Drosophila melanogaster: one gene and its partners. The protein of the gene in region 1 interacts with the protein of each later gene in a pairwise test. Each region holds a gene or a part of one and is shown in the gene's direction. Other genes may lie near its edges.

The links.
Region 2: the proteins of CG12116 (region 1) and Axs interact in a two-hybrid assay, tested with the Drosophila melanogaster proteins (one large-scale study listed by BioGRID).
Region 3: the proteins of CG12116 (region 1) and Odc2 interact in a two-hybrid assay, tested with the Drosophila melanogaster proteins (one large-scale study listed by BioGRID).
Region 4: the proteins of CG12116 (region 1) and Unc50 interact in a two-hybrid assay, tested with the Drosophila melanogaster proteins (one large-scale study listed by BioGRID).

The regions. Positions count from the first base shown.
Region 1 is NC_004354.4:8,466,247-8,471,253, reverse strand, and holds CG12116 (uncharacterized protein), read left to right. Parts: upstream 1-2,241; 5' UTR 2,242-2,499; coding exon 2,500-3,321; 3' UTR 3,322-3,811; downstream 3,812-5,007. Other genes in the region: Cp7Fa (chorion protein a at 7F), read right to left, coding at 278-334; CG33223 (uncharacterized protein), read left to right, coding at 4,942-5,007.
Region 2 is NC_004354.4:16,679,101-16,686,440, reverse strand, and holds Axs (abnormal X segregation), read left to right. Parts: upstream 1-2,545; 5' UTR 2,546-3,000; coding exon 3,001-3,019; intron 3,020-3,083; coding exon 3,084-3,232; intron 3,233-3,307; coding exon 3,308-3,414; intron 3,415-3,969; coding exon 3,970-4,240; intron 4,241-4,318; coding exon 4,319-4,531; intron 4,532-4,656; exon of another isoform or gene 4,657-4,869; coding exon 4,870-5,840; exon of another isoform or gene 5,841-5,900; coding exon 5,901-6,077; exon of another isoform or gene 6,078-6,139; coding exon 6,140-6,173; 3' UTR 6,174-6,352; downstream 6,353-7,340. Other genes in the region: Septin4 (septin 4), read left to right, coding at 1-131, 531-933, 1,030-1,290; sing (singles bar), read right to left, coding at 6,379-6,456, 6,531-6,671, 6,815-7,126.
Region 3 is NT_033778.4:8,004,822-8,010,268, forward strand, and holds Odc2 (ornithine decarboxylase 2), read left to right. Parts: upstream 1-2,424; 5' UTR 2,425-2,442; coding exon 2,443-2,712; intron 2,713-2,966; coding exon 2,967-3,124; intron 3,125-3,176; coding exon 3,177-3,474; intron 3,475-3,532; coding exon 3,533-3,781; intron 3,782-3,911; coding exon 3,912-3,980; intron 3,981-4,035; coding exon 4,036-4,173; 3' UTR 4,174-4,241; downstream 4,242-5,447. Other genes in the region: Odc1 (ornithine decarboxylase 1), read left to right, coding at 30-299, 595-752, 808-1,105, 1,163-1,411, 1,542-1,610, 1,670-1,810. UniProt on the Drosophila melanogaster protein: Catalyzes the first and rate-limiting step of polyamine biosynthesis that converts ornithine into putrescine, which is the precursor for the polyamines, spermidine and spermine.
Region 4 is NT_033777.3:8,674,321-8,679,314, reverse strand, and holds Unc50 (Unc50 RNA binding protein), read left to right. Parts: upstream 1-2,701; 5' UTR 2,702-2,796; coding exon 2,797-3,127; intron 3,128-3,382; coding exon 3,383-3,742; intron 3,743-3,797; coding exon 3,798-3,934; 3' UTR 3,935-4,032; downstream 4,033-4,994. Other genes in the region: CG33325 (uncharacterized protein), read left to right, coding at 1-361; CG11755 (uncharacterized protein), read right to left, coding at 566-1,030; CG8043 (uncharacterized protein), read right to left, coding at 1,155-2,201; mRpL19 (mitochondrial ribosomal protein L19), read right to left, coding at 4,156-4,994. UniProt on the Drosophila melanogaster protein: Required for cell surface expression of acetylcholine receptors.

The DNA.
Region 1 (5,007 bases):
TTCATTGACCAGCAGCATCCTTTCATCTGTTCAATCCTTTTATATTAACTATTCTTAATTCACGGAAACTTCTTGTATCCCTTTATCCTTTAACCACCCAGTAAACAGTGTTAAAAATCTTTCTAGGAAGCACTCTTAAGCTTTTGTAATCACTGCACACTAAGCAGTGTTGATCAGTTCGTTCGAAAGCTTATCCTTGTTTTTTTTTTAACAAATTCACTTTCTTTCTAATGCACTCCCACTTCGATGGACACTAATCGATTTTTAAGTTTCTTACCAATTGAATGCAGTGCATTCCCATGACCAACGCGAGAAGAAGCTTGCAGGCTAGCATGTTGTAAAGGTTCTTATCGGATCACTGTGTTCTTGGCTCGTCAAAAGTTTGGACTGACTGTGGGAGCGGTCCACACGGCTTATATAACCGTGATAAACCCGAAAACCGCAGATCGCCGAAAGCTGTGCTCATGCATTAGTTTTCCGCAGCTGGGCTGCTCTCGATTTTGATCGAGGTGAATGAAATTTTCACTCTTTCTTCCAGCTAAATGAAATCTTCTAGGGGTCACTTTCCCGCTGAACGACATTGAACGGAGGACAGGGTCAGGTTCAGGTATAGCCTGTGTTCCAAATATGCTTTCCATTAGGTCCACGCCTGCCCACTAAAGCTGCGATGCTACGTGCTTCGGCTTGAAAGCCCCGCGCACTTTTGATAATACCCCTAAATCAACATAAACAGACAGATGTGATGCTATTACCCACTGCCACTGTCCACTGGTGAATTCCAAGAACTTTGGACGATACCATGTGAGTGGCTAACAATGAAGTAGGGGTACACCAACCAAGATGTTCCAGCCATTCAAGACTGGTCATTATCCAACAAGCAAAACAGCAAAGTTATCAAGATTTTGGCATTCATAGGTGCATAGAGGTTTATTTTTGATCTTGGATTTGCAGTTATGTTGCAATATATGAATATATTAATATGTAATTATATATTATAAGAAAAGGGAAGTAGTGCGACTTAGATAATCTGTATACTCTATTTTGCATAGCTATTCCCTCCATCAAATGTGAGCTTATTTGGTTATACTACGATTAGAACTGCGTTCCGTTCCCGATTTCTAAATGGGTCAGCGTCATCTCGAAACGAGAATCCGGGAATCGGCAGCAGACTCCACCGGAATATAATAAGGCCATTAACCTAATTCGAGCTTGTTATTGGCGAAAATATAGTCAAAACAGCAAATTCTGGAAACACTGCCGTCTATCGATAGATCTTGAATATAGATTTTAAAGCACTTCCCTTCCGATCGATAATGTCTATAGAAATATGGAAAAATCACATTTCTAGGCAAAAAAAAAAAAACCCCTATATGACACATTAATATATATGTACCTTACGTTATCTTTAAACATGCGATTTAACGGATGTTTAGTAACGAGAGAGTTCATTAAATTCACACGTGTTACACTACCCATGTAATTCACAGGCATATATTATATGTATTATGTAATTGCAAAAACCATTTGCATTTTATTCGTCTACGAAAGTTCAACGACTGAATGCGATAACCTGTTATGTGATTCGGAAAATAAACATATATACTTAAAATAGGAAAGCAGTTTTAATGGGAAAAAACTATATGAATGGAAATTTATTTAATTTGTTTTGCAAAAAAAAGAAGGGACTTTGCTTAGACAAAACTATAAAATGTACTATTCTACTTTCCACATAATATTGTCCCCATCTGTGCTACACTATTAATTGTTGCCAACTGATTTGTTTACAAAATTCTTTGGTTAATCTCTTGCACTAAAAAGACAACCTTGACTTAGCGCCATATCAAAGGAACTCGATGAACTTCAAGATGACAATCGATCAGGTTTTTGGCTCATGGGAAACAGTGGCAAAGCCAAAAGGGGCTTGAAAAAATTAGCTTATTCTAATATGAAAGTATAAAATGAAATGAAAAGTATAATCTATGTTAAAGCATATAGAGCAATTTGTTTGTTAGGACATTATCTAAACTATGTCTATTTACCAGGACCAGGCCCCCGATGCGTAATATTGGCGCACCACTCCATCAGATTCCAGAGGTTAAATGATGCGCCATGGGTCCGGATTACGGTGCCAAAATCCCAAACATTACAAATGGTTAATGGCACGGCAACAAGACCAGACGCCTGAACCCCGGCTTATCAGTCGATTGGGTTGTATAAAAGCCCCAAGCTGACATCCCCACCAGTCCAGAGCGCTTCTCCATACGGAATCGGAACCTGAGTTGCTCAGTCGAGCATAAATATATATACAATACATATATATGCACATATAGTTGGCCAATCGAAATCGGAATAAAGCTTATCAGTCGAAAACAGAGTCCAGTTGGCAAAGCCCGGAGGAAATAAGGCATCAGTACAGTCGTACAGCTTCAAGTGAAAACAAGTGGAAGATTCTTCAGTTCCCGAAATCCTCAAGTACCCGAAATCCTTTAAATCAAAATAATGGCAGCAAAGAGAATGGATTTAAATAGACGCACCTTTTTGGTGTTGAGCGGCAGCTCAAATCCTTTGGGTCAATCCCTGGCGCTGGAGTTCTGCCGTCGCCTGGCCACTGGATCCCTTGCTTTGATCTTGGATGAGGATCAGGAGCAGCTTCGGGAGCTGGAGAATCATCTCCGGAGCGAACTGAAGACGGAGAACGTTAAGGTGACAATCGGAAAGTTGGACAAAGATCACTCGAATGGTGTGCAGCTAATGGAACAGGCATTGATGGATAATTTCATGGCGGATAAGGACAATCAACGCTTCGAGCGTTCCATAATCCTTCACAACGAGGGAAAGGCGGCCACGCATATGCTCCTGGAACCCCAGAGCGACGACGATTGGAAGGCCTATGTCCAGCAGCAGCTCTATGCTCCGGTGGCGCTCAATCAGACGTGGCTGCAATCGAAGCACTTGGAGCGAGTGGAGAAGCTGGCGGTGAATGTGACCTCATCGCTGATGGTACGTCCATTGGTCCATGCTGGTCTGCTTTGCTCGTGCAAACGGGCCAGGGATATGTACTTCCGCGCCATGGCCGCCGAGGAGTATCGTTTCGGTGTCCATGTGCTCAGCTTCTCGCCCGGTCTGATGGACACCCACGAGGGACAGTGCGATGTGAACGGCAATCGGATCACTCCCGCTGATCTGATAGCCACGAAGCAGTTGCTCCAGCTGCCGAGAATCAAGCCCTGCCAGGCCACACTCAAGCTGATCAACATTCTGGAGGAGATATCCTTTGTCTCCGGTCACGATGTCGACTATTACGACACCTTCGTTTTATGAGTAGCACCGTGGCGGTGGGCTGCGTCCCCGATGGACTCGGTTCTAATCTTGGTTGACGATTTAAATGCTGTACATGACTTGATCGCCTTGGAAATTAATAAAATCTGGCCAATGTCCCAGATTTCAGACCTGCAAGTGCACGAAAATCAAGCACACGAACAGGAAAACGAACGAAAAATTATATTTTTATTTTGGGTGGGTGGGTAGAATTTTAGATTTCTATAGGTTTGCCATTCACAATATTAACATATATTGTTGATTTGCTACTTTCAACTGAATTTGAAATTGAGTCTATTTTTAATTAGAATAGACAGGAATCACCGAAGCACACTCCTTATATTTTACCTATAATATATTTAAAACTGATGTTCAAAAAAAGAGTACTGCAGAATATACTTAGTAATTAGTTACTATTGGTAAATTTGTATGTGCAGGCGTGAGTTTATGAGTCAGCAATGCACAACAGATTAAACAAATATACAGAATATACATATATATATATATATATTTGTTAGCTCAAAACAGAAAATGAGACAGATTGAATAGTCTCAGTGATAAGAAAACCCACACGTGTTCAAATGTATAGAATTTTGTATGTGTGGTGTTGCCGGGTCGAAAATTTTCAAAATTCCCAATAGACTGATTCTTGATCCGGGTTTTCAAAATTATATGTGAAAATTTGGCTACTGAATTTGTAGTTAATAACTAATGAGGTTTTGACAAATCTTTAATCTATACAGTTATAAATGGCTTAGTTCGCCTCATTCTGATTAAATGTATTTATGGTTTTCAATTTTTTTTTTTTTCAGTTTACTTTCAATGAATCAACTGTTTTATATTCAAGGCATACTTTTGGGTATTCCTTATAGAAAAGTAATTTAAAAAGCCATAAGTTGCTCAAAATGTTGCTAAAGCTTTCCTAATCAAATTACAAATGAAATATTGTAAAAAGCAATCAGGAATTATAAATGGAGCTTCCCTACAATGTTGCAAAGATTCTGTAATCAGTTGGATTTTATAGTTTTTCCCTTGGATGCGGGGAATAAACATACAAATTAAATTTAATGACAAATTGAGAGCTTGAACTTTATAACAAAGTTGCAGAGCTTTCGAGAGAAGATTACTCGAGTTAACTCTTTAAGATGCTGACCTTGACATTGACTTTCTAACACATATTATATACATAATATATTAGCTGGGTTACTTTCATAAGGACCATAGGTTTTGATATATATGTATATATATATATATGCAAGCCTTTACGGCAAACTCTGTACGTCCTGTCTTCATTAAGCTGATAGCAGTGAAAGTCGTACTGCTCATCTTCAAGCCATAAATTTTTATTAAATTGAAATAGCTTGCAATATTTTTATACAACATTCTGATAGCTTTACTTGATTTACTTAATGAAATTTGGTAATCCATATAGGGTCACTTAAGGATGCGATGAAATTTTACTCGAACTCCATTCGCATGACAACGACAGTTTTACACAAGGGGTTCCAGAAGCAAACTTCTATCCGAATAAAGCAGACTACACCTAGAGACACAGAGCTTGTGTATAAAATCTAAAATTATCTATATATATATATATATATATATATAAATTCGGGCATCAGGATGCGGAAGGTGCAGGCTTTGGTTCAGACGCGCGACGGCAAGAAGACCGTCTACGAGGTGGATCGC
Region 2 (7,340 bases), 8.2 Mb from region 1:
CGCGTCTGCACCCAGTACATCGACGAGCAGTTCCGCCAGTACTTCACCGACGAGAGCGGCCTGAATCGCCGCAACATCCAGGACAATCGGGTGCACTGCTGCCTCTACTTCGTGCCGCCATGGGGCCACAGGTAGGATCCTAAATAATTTTCATTGTTAATTATGCTAAAAAATTTAATATATGGATTACATGAGGCTTGAAGAAATGCTTACATATTTATTTATTAGACTAGAATTCATTACATATAGAGTTTTAATATTAGCGTTTCATGTTGTTTTATTTATATATTAATTTTTTTGTTTGTTTAGTAAATGCCACGATAATGCGAAATCCACTTTGAGCAATTTTTCATGCGTAACAATTATTATGTTACGTATATTATATACGATGATTCTTGATTATTGTGGAATGTTTCATGACAAATTTTGTGCGTTCTTGGGTTTCTGGATAGCGAAAAGTACTTTACATATTTTTGATATTATTGTAGAAATATGGAATATAGTGATGTTAACTTCAATCCTATTTTCAGCCTGCGACAGATGGACCTCGATTTGATACGGCGGCTGCACCGCAAGGTGAACATCGTGCTGGTGATCGGCAAGGCCGATTGCCTCAACAAGCAGGAGGTGCGCAAGCTGAAGGAGCGCATCCTGCAGGACCTGGAGGACAACCACATCCAGCTGTATCAGTTCCCCGAATGCGACTCCGACGAGGACGACGACTTCAAGCAGCAGGACCGCGAACTGAAGGCCTCCATTCCGTTCGCCGTCGTCGGCAGCAACACCATTCTGGAGGTGGCCGGCAAGAAGGTCCGAGGGCGCCAGTATCCGTGGGGCGTGGTAAACGTGGAGGATCCGGAGCACAGCGACTTCATCAAGCTGCGCACCTTCTTGATATCCACGCACATGCAGGACCTCAAGGACACCACGCAGGTGGGTGATACTATTTTATACTACTTTTAGAGCGAAAAAAAAAATGCCGCCTTATCTTTGAGCATTACTAATACATATACTCTTGAAATGTTTCAGGACGTGCACTACGAGAACTTCCGGGCGCAGTGCATCTCGCAGATTTCGCAGCACGCGCTGCGTGAGCGCGGCAAGTTGAAGCGGGACTCGATTAGCTCGACCAATGGATTCGACGCGGCCATCTCGGAGACGGACAGGCTGCTCCTGCAAAAGGACGAGGAGATAAGGAGGATGCAGGACATGCTCACCCAGATGCAGGAGAAGCTCAAGCAGACCCATCTCATGGAGATGAAGAAGAATGACAGCGTGATCGACGTCTAGGGAACGGAAATGGGAACGTGTTCAATTTTGCACCGCCATATATGCATCTACCTACTATATAGGACTTATATGGTGACCCAGAGAAATCCTGGAGCAGCTGCAACCAAATCGACTTTGTTTATAAGCTAGCACAGACTTTTTAAAAACAAAAACAAAGACACCCAATTAAATTCAAACAAAAACAAAACTGATTAAGACAACGACTCTCCCCCCCCAAAAAGCACAAAGAATCCGACGAACCAAAAACTTCAGACATCACACAGCCTTTTTCAATTTTGTAGCTAAAGTAACGATTTCGTTAAGAACTAACGATTAAATAGAACACGTCTATCTCGAGACATTAGATATTGATCAACACGATAACGATATTATACCAAAGTTTAGGGAGTTTCAAAAACTTAACGCAAGTAAATTGTTAATGGAAAAGATCAAGAAACCACAGAGGCACATAGAAGTACCGATAACGATAAACGGAAAGACATAGACAGATCCCAAAAATGTTTTAATTTATTGTACAAGTATAATTTTGATATATTTGATTTCCTTTTGTTTTGGTTTTAAAGAGCAAAACTTGAGAATAGGTGAGTTATAAGCAAGTTTGCTTTATTTATGTGTAAAGAACTTATACCATTTATATTGTAAGAATATATCAGATCGGATGATATAGGACAAACCGCTGGAGGTTTTGGCACTGAATTTCCATGAATCGACTTTCAGCAAGTTCCAATTATTTATGCTAATTACGTATTATCAGATATATGTATCTATGAACAAAACCTATTTTGTTGAAACGAATTGTTAATGAATTTATTTTAAATTAATCGATTAAGCCTTCACGCAACAACCATAATATTTAAATGAAATTATAGTCGAAAAATTATATATAAACATAGCGATTGCTAAAAATCGATTTCAAATAAAGATAAAAACAATTTAAATGGTGCATTTACAAACGACATTGCCTTGGAGAACTCTTTTTAAATTTGCAGATTGGTTTTCCTTTTAAGGAAACTACTCGAATGCTTTGAATTAAAAGCGGCTAAGTGAATTAATGGAAACCAACAACTAATTTAGCAGTCTATGATTTTAAATTTTGAAAACGGCCCGTGTATCCCGCTTTGAACTGCTTATTTCTGACACTGCTTGCCAACTGCTTGCCGTGACTGCCAGTCAACGAGTGCAACAGTTGCGCATCACTGGCTGATTTGCACACGGTTATCGATAAGTGCTTGATTTGTTGCAATGCCGAAGGGCGGGAAAGAAGAGGAGATTCTAGTTAATTTAAACAAATTAAAACCAAATTAATTGTGACATATATGATTTATTTTTGTAGTTGTTGCTGTTGTTGTGACAGAGAGGCGAATCGTTTCGATAACATGGCAGCGATGACGTCACGCGCCACGCAGCTGGGACAGCAACAAAAACAATTGGATTTGAACCGGCAAGAACTGAATATTTTGGCATTATTATTAAAAATTCAGTATTTTGGCATTGGCGCGGGCCAAGATACACTCATACACGCAATTAGCACACACACGCACACCGCAAGTGCGAGCGAGATAGCAAGCACTTACTCATGCGAGCGGAGAAGAAAAGCAAAAACAAAATAAACGAAACTGAGAGAATTCTGCAATATCATATTCGGATGTGGATGTGATTGTTATATTTTGTTATTAGTTCAGCGACGCCACTCGTCGTCACCCGTAAACGATGTCCGAAGATGCCAAGAGTAAGTGCACCCAGTGAGCTGGCACTTAATGCCACAGACCCATTAAAATCGAATAAAACTCCAGGTCCAGGACCACGCACACGGAACATCATCGAGAATCAGCTGTTCCGCCGGCAGCGTAGCCTAAAATTGGAGGCACTGCAGCGCCAGCGGACCTTGGATTCCAACGATGGGGTGGAGGGATTGGGCGCAGATACGGAACCCTTCGACAAGGTCAGTTATTTTGCATTTCATGAGGTGCTGCGCATGGTTTATTTACGACAGATCTTCATCTATCGCCAACAACAGACGCACATCGTCATCATCTTTACGGAGAAGGCCAAGCTAAGACACTGTCAGGATGTGGAGAAGATCATTCAGGAGTTTGGCATCCAGACCACGCTGGAGATCGTAGGGTAAGATGGGATTGCGTTAGATACATAAAGAACAGCAAATCATACAAGTTGTGTGCTTGAAAACTACTAAGAAGTACTAAGAAAATTTAAATATTTAAGCCATGGAAAATCATTTATATAACGCATTAGAATATAAATTTACAGAAAATATTAATGCTGTAGTATTATAAAGTCTATATTATTAACTCATACGCAAAAACAAAAATGATTTTACATAATCAATAGTAACAAAAGAAAACTTGAATGAATTACATAAATTATTCAACGAGAAAATGTAGAAAATATAGTTTAAAAATCTTCACAGATGTTACATTAATGGCTGTTCCTATAAAATTATAGCAAACTTTCAATGAAAAACAATTAGGATTTAGGACACATCAGTAAATCATTTTAAATTAGCAAACAACAAGTGCATTGTTTATAATACAAAAACCAGATCTTTTGATCTCCAATTTGTTTAGAAATGAAAATCGATTTAACTATTTGTTTACGAAAGTGCCTGGTTAAGCACTCCTCCAGATTGGCAAGCAACTAATCCAATTAAATTTCGTACAGGAAAACCGAAAAGTATCTCTACCTATCGGCCAGCGTGGATACTCTGCTCCGTTTGGCCGATGCCGCCGAGCTGGAGAAGATGACCACCACGCACAGCATGCAAAAGTTCAATCACGGCTGCATCTCGGACTTTCTACTGCCCGGGATGGGCAAAGAGCAGATCCTGCGCTACTGCGAGATACCTGTTCTCATCAAGGACGTAATCCAGGACGGCATTAAGTCCTACGTGCAAAAGGGCTACATAGAGGATATGTTTCCCCTCCACGATATCGTAAGTTATAAATATATCCTAATTATATACATGGATAGATTGTCTAATGTTATGCAATGCATCAATCTATACACTTAGCTGTATCTCGAACGCTTCAACTGGAACCTGAAACGCACCAAGCTGCCCATCGAGGACATCCGGAACTACTTTGGTTCCAGTATAGGTCTTTATTTCGGCTTCATCGAGTTCTACACGAAGGCACTGATCTTTCCCTCCCTTTTTGGTATACTCCAATATGTATTCGATCTGAACATCTCGCTGGTCTGCAGTTTCTACGTTGTTTGGACCACGGTGAGTTAAATTGTTAATTTTCAAGGCGAAACAAAGTAAACCTTTGCACAATAAAAATAAATTGCTTTTACAGCTTATAAATCTAAGTATAGCATCACTTAAGTGCTCTTAAGTTGGAAACTTTTAAGTGCTATAGTAAAAATAGCTAGCATGTATGTATTTTGATCTTGCAGTTTTACCAATTTTCAAGTTTGAATAGTTTAAATATATCTATACACCGACTAAATCATTGCCACAAAAAACAGTTAACTAAAGATTAAATACACTAGAGCTGGCATAAAACGTTATGGTTTTGGTCTTCCAATCGATTTTATATTAACATATTCCTATATTTTTAGATTTTCCTGGAGTTGTGGAAGCGTAAGTGTGCCGGCTACTCGTATCGATGGGGCACCATTGAGATGAGCAGCCTGGACAAGCCGCGATCCGCATATACGGGCCAATTGAAACCGGACCCCATCACCGGCAAGATGACACTCCACTATCCGATGCGGTACACATACCTGCAGATGTACTGCATCTCGTATCCGGTGGTGCTGGGCTGTGTGGTTGCCGCCGGCTGGTTTGCCCTCTACCAGTTTCAGATCGAAGCCGAGGTGCTGGCGGATTTCGGACCAGACTCCTGGCTGCTGTACGTGCCGGTTATTGTGCAGTCGGTGCTGATTGCGATCTTTTCGTGGGCATACGAAAAGCTGGCCACATTCCTCACCAACCTGGAGAACCATCGAACTCGATCGCAGTACGATCGTCATCGGGTCAATAAGCTGATGCTCTTCGAGATCGTGAATAACTTCTTCTCGCAGTTCTATATTGCCTTCGTGCTGCACGATCTGCGCCAGCTGAAGTACCAGTTGATGATGCAACTGCTGGTCTTCCAGCTGCTGTGCATCGCCCAGGAGATTGGTATACCGCTGCTGGCGGTGCTGCGCCAGAAGTACGCCGAGTTCCGTCATCGCGAGGTGGCCGAGGAGAAGCTGCGATCCATCAGTGATCTGCCGCGCTACGAGCAATCGTTCTACGAATCCGGACTAGATGAATATCATTCCACGTACGAGGACTACCTGCAGGTATGCATCCAGTTTGGATTCGTGGTCCTGTTTGCCGCCGTTGCCCCATTTGCCGCCATTGGAGCTCTGCTGAACAACGTCTTTGCGGTGCACATTGATATGTGGAAGCTGTGCAACATCTTTAAGCGACCATTTGCAAGGCGCGCCAAGAACATCGGCGCCTGGCAGCTGGCCTTCGAGCTGCTCTCAGTGATGTCGTTGCTTAGCAACTGCGGTCTGCTCTTCCTTCAGCCGAATGTCAAGTGAGTTTTGGCCTTTTTCTGACTTTCTTACTGATAATCATCCTTTTTTTAATCCATCAGGGACTTCTTCTCTCACTGGCTGCCATCGGTGCCGGATCTTTCGTTCGTAATCTTCGAACACTTGCTGCTGGGCCTGAAGTTTCTCATCCACAAGGTTATTCACGAAAGGCCGCGCTGGGTGCGCATCGGACTGCTAAAGGCGGACTTCGAGACCAGCCAGGCTCTCAAGCAACTCAAGTGGGTGTAAAACGAATTCAATGGAGAAACAATAAAACATCTAACGAACTATGTACTTGCAGAAAATTCAAGGCGGAGGCCAACAAGATGGCCTGATGGGCCACAAGATCGCCGGATCTCCCACTCCACTCCTTTTGGTGCTAATGAAACCAGTCCATTTTAAATGTTATTATTTATAAACATACGACTAATCGCGTTTACCGCGAATGTTCGAGACCAACGGAAGTAAGGTGCCTTAAACCTAAAACTCATATAAATATGTCCACAGAGTACTTAAGATACTGCTTTTGTCTGGCCGGGATTAGCGTGCGCCTCGGAAGTGCCGGAACGCCAAGTAGGCATCCAGGGCATGCAATATTCCCGCTGCATAGCCCATGTACTGAAAGTTAAGGAGTTTAAAGGGATTTTTGGTTAAATATAGGCATATTTTTTATTTAAATCAGCAGTACTTACATAGCAGGCTGTCATGGCCGGATATGCCCAGAATCCGGGTCGCACCAGGAACTGCGGATGTAGCCATACCACGCAGGCGAAACCCATGTAACTGGATGAGCTGAAGTACATGCAGCTGGCGAGGCCATTGAACAAGGTCTCCTGGAATAAGAGCAATCACCATATCGTTAGATCAGAAAAAATTAAAATTAAAATGCATCCTTCAATTTGAATTGAATTTTGTGTTCGAGCAAGTTAGTAGAGAATCTATTCTTCACTTGGAAAAGCGCTCCAAGTCAACCTACGAATAGTGACTGCCGAATGAGACTGTAGGATTTGTCGGAGAAGGCGTAGCACAGTAGCAGGATGCCAGTGGTGGTGAAGCAGTGGCCGGTTGTGGCCAGGAAGCTGGTTAGCGCCTGGCCAATGGAATCGGCGTATGGTACGCCGTAGCGGATGAGCAGTCCCTCGCAGAGCATGGCCAGGCCCAGTTGCATCAGCTTCAGGAGGCCGATCCGCGACAGAACGAACCCGAAATTGATGCAGGTGCAGACGCGACAACAGCATATCCGAATGCCCAGCGGCTGGCCCATTCCTCGAACTCCAAACGAGGCCATGGTCTGATTGCAACTGATCCGGCGATGCAGCGACTCCGCTTTGTTGTATGTTGTCGTAGTGCCAGCCAACCAGGTTCTATAAATAGCTGCCGATACACATGGACCCCAAGTGGTGCATTTCCTTGCATTTCCAGCGACGTGGCAACAAATCCACCCCAATCTCCAGCTAAATTTAGAACAGCAATTCACAATGGGCGAGGATTTGTCTATGCGG
Region 3 (5,447 bases), on another chromosome or scaffold:
CTCACTCACTCAGTTGAGATCTTTCCGAGATGGCGGCCGCTACCCCTGAAATCCAGTTCTACGAACGCGAGCTCAACATCCGCCGGGTGATCGAGGAGTGCGACCTGCAGCGCCTGGACCAGGCCCTCAACATCTGCGACCTGTCTAGCGTGGAGCGTAAGCTGCGCCTCTGGCAGAAGCTCCTGCCCAGGATCAAGCCCTTCTACGCCGTCAAGTGCAATGACGATCCAATGGTGGTCAGGCTGCTGGCCCAGCTGGGAGCCGGATTCGACTGCGCCTCCAAAAACGAAGTCAAGCTGGTGGGTTGGGAATAGTTACTACATATACAAGTGCCTTAAGTCCTGGTAGTGCATCTCATAGTTTTTGGTGCCACACTAATATGTTTTTATAAATACTTTAGTACAAAGTACTATATAGTCATGTTCCAAGTAATGGAACGTAATTCTGGGCCTTATCAATTTCTGAATGTAGGTTTTCATTTTTCAAGCGATTAACACGTGTTGTTCTAGAGCCCAGACATTGGTATTTGATTACTTGTCGGAATTTCGTATAATTTAATAACTTTATTATTCTTTTCATGAATTCAATTCAAAGGTCTTGGGCTTCGATGTCTCGCCGGAGCGTATCATCTTCGCCAATCCCTGCCGCCCTGTCAGCCATCTGGAGTACGCCAAGGAGCACCAGGTGTCCAACGGAACGGTGGACAATGAGTTCGAGGTATACAAGCTGCACACGCACTATCCCAACTCCAAGTAGGTGCACTACCGTCGGATGCGATCATTAGTATATCTATACGTTGTTATCCAGCCTGATCGTGAGATTCAAGAGCGAGGCCAAGGAGGCACAGTGCCCACTGGGCGACAAATTTGGCTGTGATGCGGATGTGGATGCAGCGGCCCTAATGCTGCTGGCCAAATCCTTGGAGCTGAAGGTGACCGGCACCAGTTTCCACGTCGGCTCCGGATGCAGCGAGCTGCAGGCCTACGATCGGGCCATCAAGAAGGCCAAGAACCTCTTCAAGTTCGGCGCACTACTGGGCTATGACATGGACTTTCTGGACATTGGCGGTGGGTTCCCTGGCAGCGATGACGTAAAGTTTGAGAAGGTGTAATGCAGTAAGCAGAGGATTTTGAAGCAATTGCTCAGAGGAAACTTTTTACAGATAGCCGAAAGTGTGAATACCTCGGTGCAGCGTCATTTTCCCGACGAACGCGTTCACATAATCGCCGAACCAGGACGCTTCTTTGTGGCGGCAGCCTGCACCTTGGTTTGCAAGATCCACGCCAAGCGGGAGATCAGGAACGAAGCTGGCAAACTGGACACCGTAATGTACTATCTGAATGACGGCGTCTATGGGTCCTTCAACTGCATTCTGTACGACCATCAAGTGGTGATTGCAGAGCATTATCTGGTAAGATTGTCCATTATCATATGCATTATTTTAGTTGTCATTGAACATTGTTAAAAAGAAGAGGGGTTCCCCTTGAATAGCTCAGACCTCTACATGTTTTTAAGACCCAATTCACTTCATTTTCCCACAGGACAATGCAGAATCTTTGCCACACCTAAAGTCCTTGATTTGGGGGCCAAGTTGTGACGCCCTAGATAAGGTAAGTCAAATGTTGCTTGAAACTTAGCAATACCAAGTAATGTTTTATTTCTTCTTCAGATTTCGGAGGACCTGCACTTGCCCAACCTAAACCGAGGCGATCTTTTGGGATTCCGAAACATGGGCGCCTACACCATGCCCATTGCCAGTGCATTCAATGGATTCGAAGTCCCCAAGACCCTGTACTTCCAAGCTATATGACTAAATCACTTACTCAATCCAATAAAACCAACATTTTGTGGACTCTCTATTGTTTACTTGCTTACAACTTTTATATGTAGTAGACTTGGGTTTATAAAAATACCTGGCTGGTGGATTGTTAGGCCCATAAATATCTTCATGTATGTAAAAGGAGCATTTGAGATGTGTATTTCGTAGCTGGGAATTCATGCGTAAACAATTTTGGATCTCACAACTTACGGTAATGTTACTATGAAAGTCAGTAGATCTGTCATACTTTTCGCTAATAGTTCTAAGTCACACAAATCATCTATTTAAAAGGCAGTAAGCGATAAAAGCCCAAAATTGTCATCCATCAAATATATCTTAAGTATCAGTTTCTTATAATTTGCCTAGAAATCAATCATGCAAATGAACTGGAACTTTAATTGCCACCAGTTCTAGTTTAATAAATTTGTTGACTTGACTCGTAGCATAATTTACGGATGCGTAGACCTTGAAAAAAAAAAACCGAAAAGCAATCCATCTCATGTCCAAAGTCGACATCGTTTATGTATAAATAATGTTTTTGTCACTTCCTAATAGATAATCCCAAAGCTGGGACTCTCTGTGGGCAGGCAGACCACATTTGTATCAGTATCAGTCTAATCGAGATGGTGAACGGAGACCTAAGAATACAATACTACGATGAAGAGCTCAACATTCGCAAGGTTATCGAGCAGGCAGACCTAGAACATCTGGACCAGGCCCTCAACATCTGTGACTTGTCCAGCCTGGAGCGGAAGCTCCGTCTCTGGCACAAGCTTATGCCCAGGATTGAGCCCCACTATGCCGTCAAGTGCAACGACGATCCGGTGGTGGTCAAGTTTCTGGCGGATCTCGGAACTGGATTCGACTGCGCCTCCAAAAACGAACTTAAGTTGGTAAGTACGGATGCGCTTTCCGAGTATTGGGTATTCCAAGCTTCCAAATTTGAGATCGACCTTGAATCGATGGATTAAATGGCGAATAATAACAATATGGAAACAAATCAAATCTAAATGTCATAAGATTCAAAACGACAATTATCAGTTGAATTCACTAAAATAAATGAAGATCGGTATTGAATGAAAAGAATACGCTTAGATTTATTCATTTATTCTCTACCCATTCCCATAACTTCCATGTACTCCTTCAGGTCCTGGGACTTGGCGTTTCGCCTGAGCGCATTATCTTCGCACATCCCTGTCGTCCTGCTAGCCACTTGAGGTACGCCAAGGAGCAGCAGGTGGTCAACGGTACGGTGGATAACGAGTACGAGATTTACAAGCTGAGAAAACACTATCCCGACTCCAAGTAAGTCTATACGTATCTGAGCTTCTGGTAGTGATATGTTTCGTTATTCCAGCCTCATCGTGAGGTTCAAAAGTGAGGCTAAAAAGGCGCTGTGCCCCTTGGGCGACAAATACGGATGCGATGCGGAGGCGGACGCCGCAGCCCTAATGCTTCTGGCCAAGGCCTTAGGTTTGAAGGTAACCGGTACCAGTTTCCACGTGGGCTCCGGATGCAGCGAGGTGGAGGCCTACGATCGGGCCATCGAGAAGGCGGAAAACATCTTTAAGGTCGGCGAGATGATAGGTCACAAGATGGAACTATTGGATGTTGGCGGTGGCTTTCCTGGCATTGATGATGAGATGTTCGAGGAAGTGGGTACAGCAATTGACTAGATTTCGAGCTATTGTTGATGAAACACATTCCTTATAGATAGCGCAGTCGGTAAACACATCAGTGGAGCTGCGTTTTCCCGATAAGCGTATCCGAATCATTTCCGAGCCAGGACGCTTCTTTGTGGAGGCCGCATACACATTGATCTGCAAGGTACATGCCAAGCGGGAAGTCCGCAGCAAGGATGGCAAGCTGGACACCATGATGTACTACCTGAATGATGGAATCTTCGGAGCGTTCGCAGGAATGTTTTACTACCCTGAAGAGGTGGCTCCCGAGCTCTACTTGGTAAGAAGAGAAGTGTGCTCCAATTGTTTTTATCATTTAACAACTTTTTTAAAAGTGCTTAAACAGTATTTATAGTATTAAATTATTGATTAAATAGTTCAAGTAATAATAAATTGTCCTCCGATTCCAGGACGAAGCCGAGAGCTTGCCAAAACTCAAGTCTGTGATTTGGGGACCCAGCTGCGATGCTATGGATAAGGTAAGTGAGTTTCTAAAGACTTTCAACATAATAACTTTCACCACCTCGCCTTCAGATATCGGACTTGCTATTGCCCAACTTGAATCCGGGCGATCTATTAGGCTTTCGCAATATGGGAGCCTACACCATGCCCATCGCCAGTCCCTTTAATGGATTCGATGTTCCGGAGACCAGGTTCTTCAAGGCAAAGTAACTTTACCGTACTCTAAGAACAATACTTGTTATGCTCAACTTAAAATTAAAATTTGCAAATATCTTTTTATGTAATTAAGACCACGCATTTCAGTAGTATCACGACGTAAAGAAAACTCTCGCTTGCATTTGTAACCAACATGGATTCTTTATTAGATAGATTTTCAGATTGCTCACATGGAGAGCATTATGTAAGCCCAGCTTTCGATGGGGTTCAGTGTTTTGCAATATTTTGAAAAGAACAGCTCTAGCCAAAGGAAACTGACCCGAATCGGTGGTGCGGCGCATTCTCTTGAAAATATTTCCGGACCCGAGCCCGCTCCCGCTGCACCACCGCCCACCAGTGGGTGGCTACTGACCTAAGCCACCGCGTGGTTGGTGTGGAGGCGGGTAGGGGATCGGGCGGACTTGGAGTGTCAGTGTCAGTATAGCTAATCGGATTACAACTTAGTTTGCGTAGACATAATCGAAAAGGTACGTATGTATGTGTGTATAAAAGTATATGTATAAAAAATTTCAAAAATTCCACTCTGCATACACGCTGCATTTGCTTAATTCACTTCTGCATAAATATATCAAACTTGTCAGATGCCTCAAAAATGTAAGTAAATTCTATAAAATGTCACTATATTAGCTGTGTCGAGCCATCCGAGTGTCTTACTACTGGGAGCTCTTGATATGTCACGATATAATATAACAATATAACGATATGCATTCTCGACCTTCGTGGGTTGCCCCTTTTTGGATTAAGGGTTATGGGTTATGGAATTGGGATTTCTTGGGAGTTTGCCCGTGTTTGTGGCAAATAAAGAGTACAAACTACTTATTCCATAATCAGTTCTTGGTGATTGATGCAAATGAAATTTTCTTACTTTCTCTTGTGCCTTCGCTTTGTTTCGCCCGCCTCTGGCACCCAAAGTGGAGCCACATTTGGCCATGGTTGCTGAGAATTGGTTAACACGACACATGGACTCGAGGAGCTTGCGAATTTCGACTGGGTATCGGTTGGGTGCTGAAGGTAGGTCTGGAAACGGGCGGAGGGACTACGAAACGCGTTAGTAATGATTGTATCTCACAACACCGACGACAAGACGACGATAGACTACACATAATAGATGGGCAAACGGAGCCCTAGGCTGCACAGATAAACTCGTACAGATTAACGCGAGTAACAACAAAATCTCTCGCTTAAACGTAACAATATTCTGATATGTTTGGGTTTCGATTTTGGTTTGGGTTTAGGTTTCTGTTTAGCTTTCTGTTTTGGTTTTGGTT
Region 4 (4,994 bases), on another chromosome or scaffold:
TCCGTGGGGAAAAAAGACGTATCGGGATTTCGACGAGAAAATATGGAACCTTTTTATGGCCATAAACAGCGAAGAGCAAACATTTAAAAAGAACGCATTAGCCGCATTCAAAAAATATGACGAAGATCGGGCCATTTTGGACAAAGCATTGGCACACCGAATTGCAGAATTCGAGAAACAAATTCCGCATGAGACAAATCCGTGCAGGGTCGATCTAATTCGCTTGAAAAAAGAACTGGGACGCGCAATGTTTGAAACTACGCAGAAAAAGCACAACAGTTTGGTCGCTACGAACTATGTAAAGACTTGTCTCAATAATCAAATAAAATTGTTCTTGGCAATGAATGATTTAACATTGTAAACTTCAGATTGGTTTTATTTTACTTTGCAATAATATTTAAGCATTAGAAAGCATACAATACAAACAATACAATCAACCGCACTTGAATAAGTGCGAGTTTCCATTATTGAATAAAGTTTAAAATGTATCCTTTCTAGCCAATAGCTCTTTCACTGCTTATTTAGATAATTTTTACATACTACTGTTTTATATTTAAAGACTAATTTATGTTTGCCTGCCTTGACTGACAGACATTTGTTTTCTTATTCGAGCTTGAGCCTCAGGTGGCCAGTTTTTTAATTCTTCCTTGCCACAAGGCAAGCAAAAAGAGGCTGTATAGTAGAAACTGCAGCCAGGATCCTTGCACACCGTCTTGGAGCAGATGGAGCACTTAGTCCCCATTGCGATATAGTATTCCGGCTTTGACTGCCAACGAGGTGGAGGTGGTTGGAAAGGATCTCGCATCACGTAGTTGTCCTCTGGGTATATGACTCCTAGAGCAAAGGGCGGTTTCCGTCCAAAATAATGGACCATCTCGTGCATTTCACAGCCAGAACAATTGAATTCGATGCGTGCTACTCGTTCATCCTCTTCCTCGGGATCAATGGGCTTTTTAAGCTCCTCGGGAAGCTGTAACCGTTCAATTTCCTCTGCCTCATTCTCCAGGACGAGGTCGTCATCGGGATCCATGTCTGAGATTTTCTAAAAGACCAATAGAAAAACACAGACTGTGCAACTTATACGAGGACTATATACATTTACTACACTTATAACAATAGTATGATAACAATATTTGGTCAAATCAGTTCGTAAGTCACTCAGCGAAAGCCATGCGACGCTTTCCAGGCAAATCCTCCGGCCACCATTCTGGACGTTCAACATAACAGCGCTCGCCATCGATCATCAACTCAGGACGGCCGTTGAGAACCTTCTCGATGCGCAGCAGTGCAATACCATGCTTGTGCGCAAAGCCAAAGACGCGTCCAAGTTTCGCTCCAGCCAAAGAAGTTACGTCCTGGCTGGAACCCACATCAATTGGGGCCGTCAACCGGATGGGCATGTATCGCTTGCGGATCACGCCCGAATGATGGACGCGGGCAGTTAGCTCCTGGCCCACATAGCAGCCCTTGTGGAAGCTCACGCCATGCAGGTAATCCGCATTCGCTTCGAGGGGAAAACATTTGCCCGGTGTCAGTTCCGAGCAGCCCTCGCCCACTCCTTGCTTGTAGCGCAGCAGTTGATAACTATTGTCGGAGGAGGCTGCTGTGGCGGTACCGAAGTCAGCAAAACATTTGGACAGCTTGGACCAGTCCATGTCGGTGGGGGCCAGGATGCGAGTGCCAAGGACATGCAGCCTCGGGTCGGGAGACACAAATAAGTCTGGATGTGGATTGGGTACAGCCTCCGAAGCGTCCTTGAGGTTAAACATAACCCAAGGGGTATACTCGTCGTCTACACTGTCGACCTCAATGCGCCTGCGAACGCGGTAGGTGCGAAGATGGCGTCGGAAGTCCGAGGAAGCCTCCCGATCGCACTCAACAAGGATGGTTTCCGGGTTGTTGGTGCGGTACAAGATGGTGTCGTACAGCAGCCTGCCCGCCTTGTTGAGAAAATGGGCGTACATTGAGGCAGGACCCCCCGGCGACTGAATCCGGGCCACATCGTTGGTCGCAAGACCCTGCAGGAATGGCACCACCTCGGCCCCGTGGACACGGATGAGTTCTCGATTTCCCAGCGGCTCCAACGTGAAATTGCGCTGATTTGGGCCCACCGGACGGGCGTATGGAATCCTCATCTCGTGGAGATTACGTATGTGATGGCGCACGGCGCGCAGAAACCACGGATTCGAACATCTATTCATGCTGCAAAATGGAGGCATCTGTTGCCTGCAATTGGTACTGGAAATGCCAACGGAAATCGCTCTTACCTTGTGCTGGAAATTTGATTAAACTTATTCGATATATCTAGCAGCAGAAACTTAAATTTGGTACTCAAAACAAAGTCGAGCAAGGAACTGATTTTTTGGCACCCGGTTCATAACATTTGGAATTGACAGTTCGTTTGGAGATGAGCGATTGGACTTCTTTTTTACGTGACACGAATTGTGGTGGAATAGTTAAATATCACTGAATATCTTACACTTGCATATGCAATAAAATTCGTGTGAAATATGTCTGTATACTTACAATTTTATTTTCTCTAAGAATGTAAAAAGTACTGTAAATTTAAATGAATATATTTTACGGTATATTTTTAATGGCACTTGCCGATTGTTTCTAGCCGCGAAATTCTCTCACGCTCCCATCGCCAATCAGCTGTTTCTTATCGTGACACCACATCATCTTGTTTTCTTTGGCTTATTTTAGCACTTTATACGGGGAAAATCGGTATTTCTTGGCGCTGAGGGCGCAGCCACTCTGCTGAAAACACAAGAAATTTGTTTTAAACAAAACAAAATGACTCAATATAGCCACGTTAAGTATACACAATCGCCGACGCCGTCGGTGGTTTCCGGCTACTCGAGTGCCTCGCGTCTCCATTCGCCATTACCGCCACCCGCCAACCACCGGAGGGACTGCCTCTCGGCGACCACCAAGAGCTACAAATACCTGCGACGTCTGCTCAAGTTCAATCAAATGGACTTCGAGTTTGCCCTGTGGCAGATGCTCTACCTCTTTGTGGCGCCCCAAAAGGTGTACCGGAACTTCAACTACCGGAAACAGACCAAGTCACAGTTCGCCCGCGACGATCCGGCCTTTCTGGTCCTCCTGGTCGTCTGCCTATGTGGTGAGTTCTAATGCCCAAGCATTCACACTCCAAAAGGGAGGAGGGAGATCCCATCTGCATCTGTTGTCATCTTGTACCATATCTACAGTTGGGCACTAATAACTTCTCTTCTGCTTATATCTAGTTAAAAGCTTAAAGTTAACGAATTTCATCAGTGTCCAATAAGATTACTATTGTACTCCAGCCTTATATAGAAACAACCTGTTAGAACTAATCAAAAAAAGGCCGTCTAATAATGTATGTATCTTTCAACAGTCACCTCCCTGGGCTTTGCGTATGTGCTGGGACTGTCTTTCTGGCAGAGCATCTCGTTCATATTCTATGTGGTATTCGTGGACTGTATTTTCGTGGGCATCATAATAGCCTCGTTCTTCTGGGCGGTGACGAATCGGTATCTGCGCACAAATAGCCTGGAGCCGGATATCGAGTGGGGCTATGCCTTCGATGTCCATCTAAATGCCTTCTTTCCGCCACTGATGCTGCTGCACTTCATCCAGCTGTTCTTCTACAACTGGCTGATCAGCCAAACGTGGTTCATCTCGCGATTTCTGGGCAACACCTTTTGGTTGATGGGCATGGGCTATTATGTGTACATCACATTTCTGGGATACAATTGTAAGTTATTAAATGCATCATCAAGTTCTCGAATTAAAAAGCTTTCCTCCTGCAGGCATTCCCCATCTGAAAAACACCCGCATCATTCTCATCGCCCTGCCCATCATCTTTCTACTGTTTCTGGTCGTCACAATTATTGGTTGGAACGCAACGATATCCTTTGTCAATTTCTACAAGTATCGCGTATATTAGTAATGCAATGTGCGTTGTAAATTATTCTGCGTTTAGTTGCTAAGCCACTATACTACAATTATGACTAATAAACTAATTAATTTAGCGTTATCCAAACCATATTATTGCAGCCTCAGTCATTTTTTCGATGATAAAACCATCTTTATAAAGTAAAATCGTGGAAAACTATAAAACAACATTTTTTCGATATTTTTATTCTAAAAAATGAACAACAAATGCAATTACGCCAGCTGCTTGGGCTTAATGAAAGTGCGCTTGCGCTTGTTGCGTTTTCGCTGCAGCTCCAGGGCGTGCAGTTCCGTGTGCACCTCGGCGAAGATCTCCGTCTGCTCCTCCTCGGGAATCGAGCTGCGGTAGTCCTTCATCATGTCGTACTTCTCCCATGGTTTCTGCACCTTGGCCGCCGACAGGCGATGCTTGTCTTTTAGATACTCATCGATGTTGGCCACACCACGCAGATTCTGTCGTTCCCAGCGCTCCAGCCATGGACGCGGACGGAGCACCACCTTAATGTCGTTCACCGGCACCGGAGCACCCTCCTCGAGCGGCTCGGCCTCCATGTTCTCATCAAAAGTACTGTACTCCGGAAGAGCGTCCCGCAGGTAGAAAAGACTGTCATCCAGTCGCTTCTCTAGCCGCAACACCTCGATCTTTAGGATGGTAGGATCATACAGCTCGTAGACCACCTCCATTCCCTGGTGATCAATCACGTTGCGAAGAATGAAACGGGCGCGCAGTCCACAGCGATCCCTATTGATACAGATACCCACAAATCGACTGGTTTTGCCAGCGGCATGGGGATCCGAACTTGTCACCGCAAGCACAGATCCAACGTAGAACTCGGGCAGGTCGATCTGTTTGCGGCGATCCAGCATGTCCAGTCGCTCCAGCTTCTCGCGCACGAGGTTGCGCCACTCCACCTTCGGATCGGGCAGGAATTCTGGGTAAACAAACCGATAATTGGCCGGAATGATTGTCTTCCGGTTCACCGGTGAAGTCGGCGTGGTTGGCGGAGCCTCTTTCTTCTGTTCCTCCTGATTTTCAATTACATGTTCCGCAG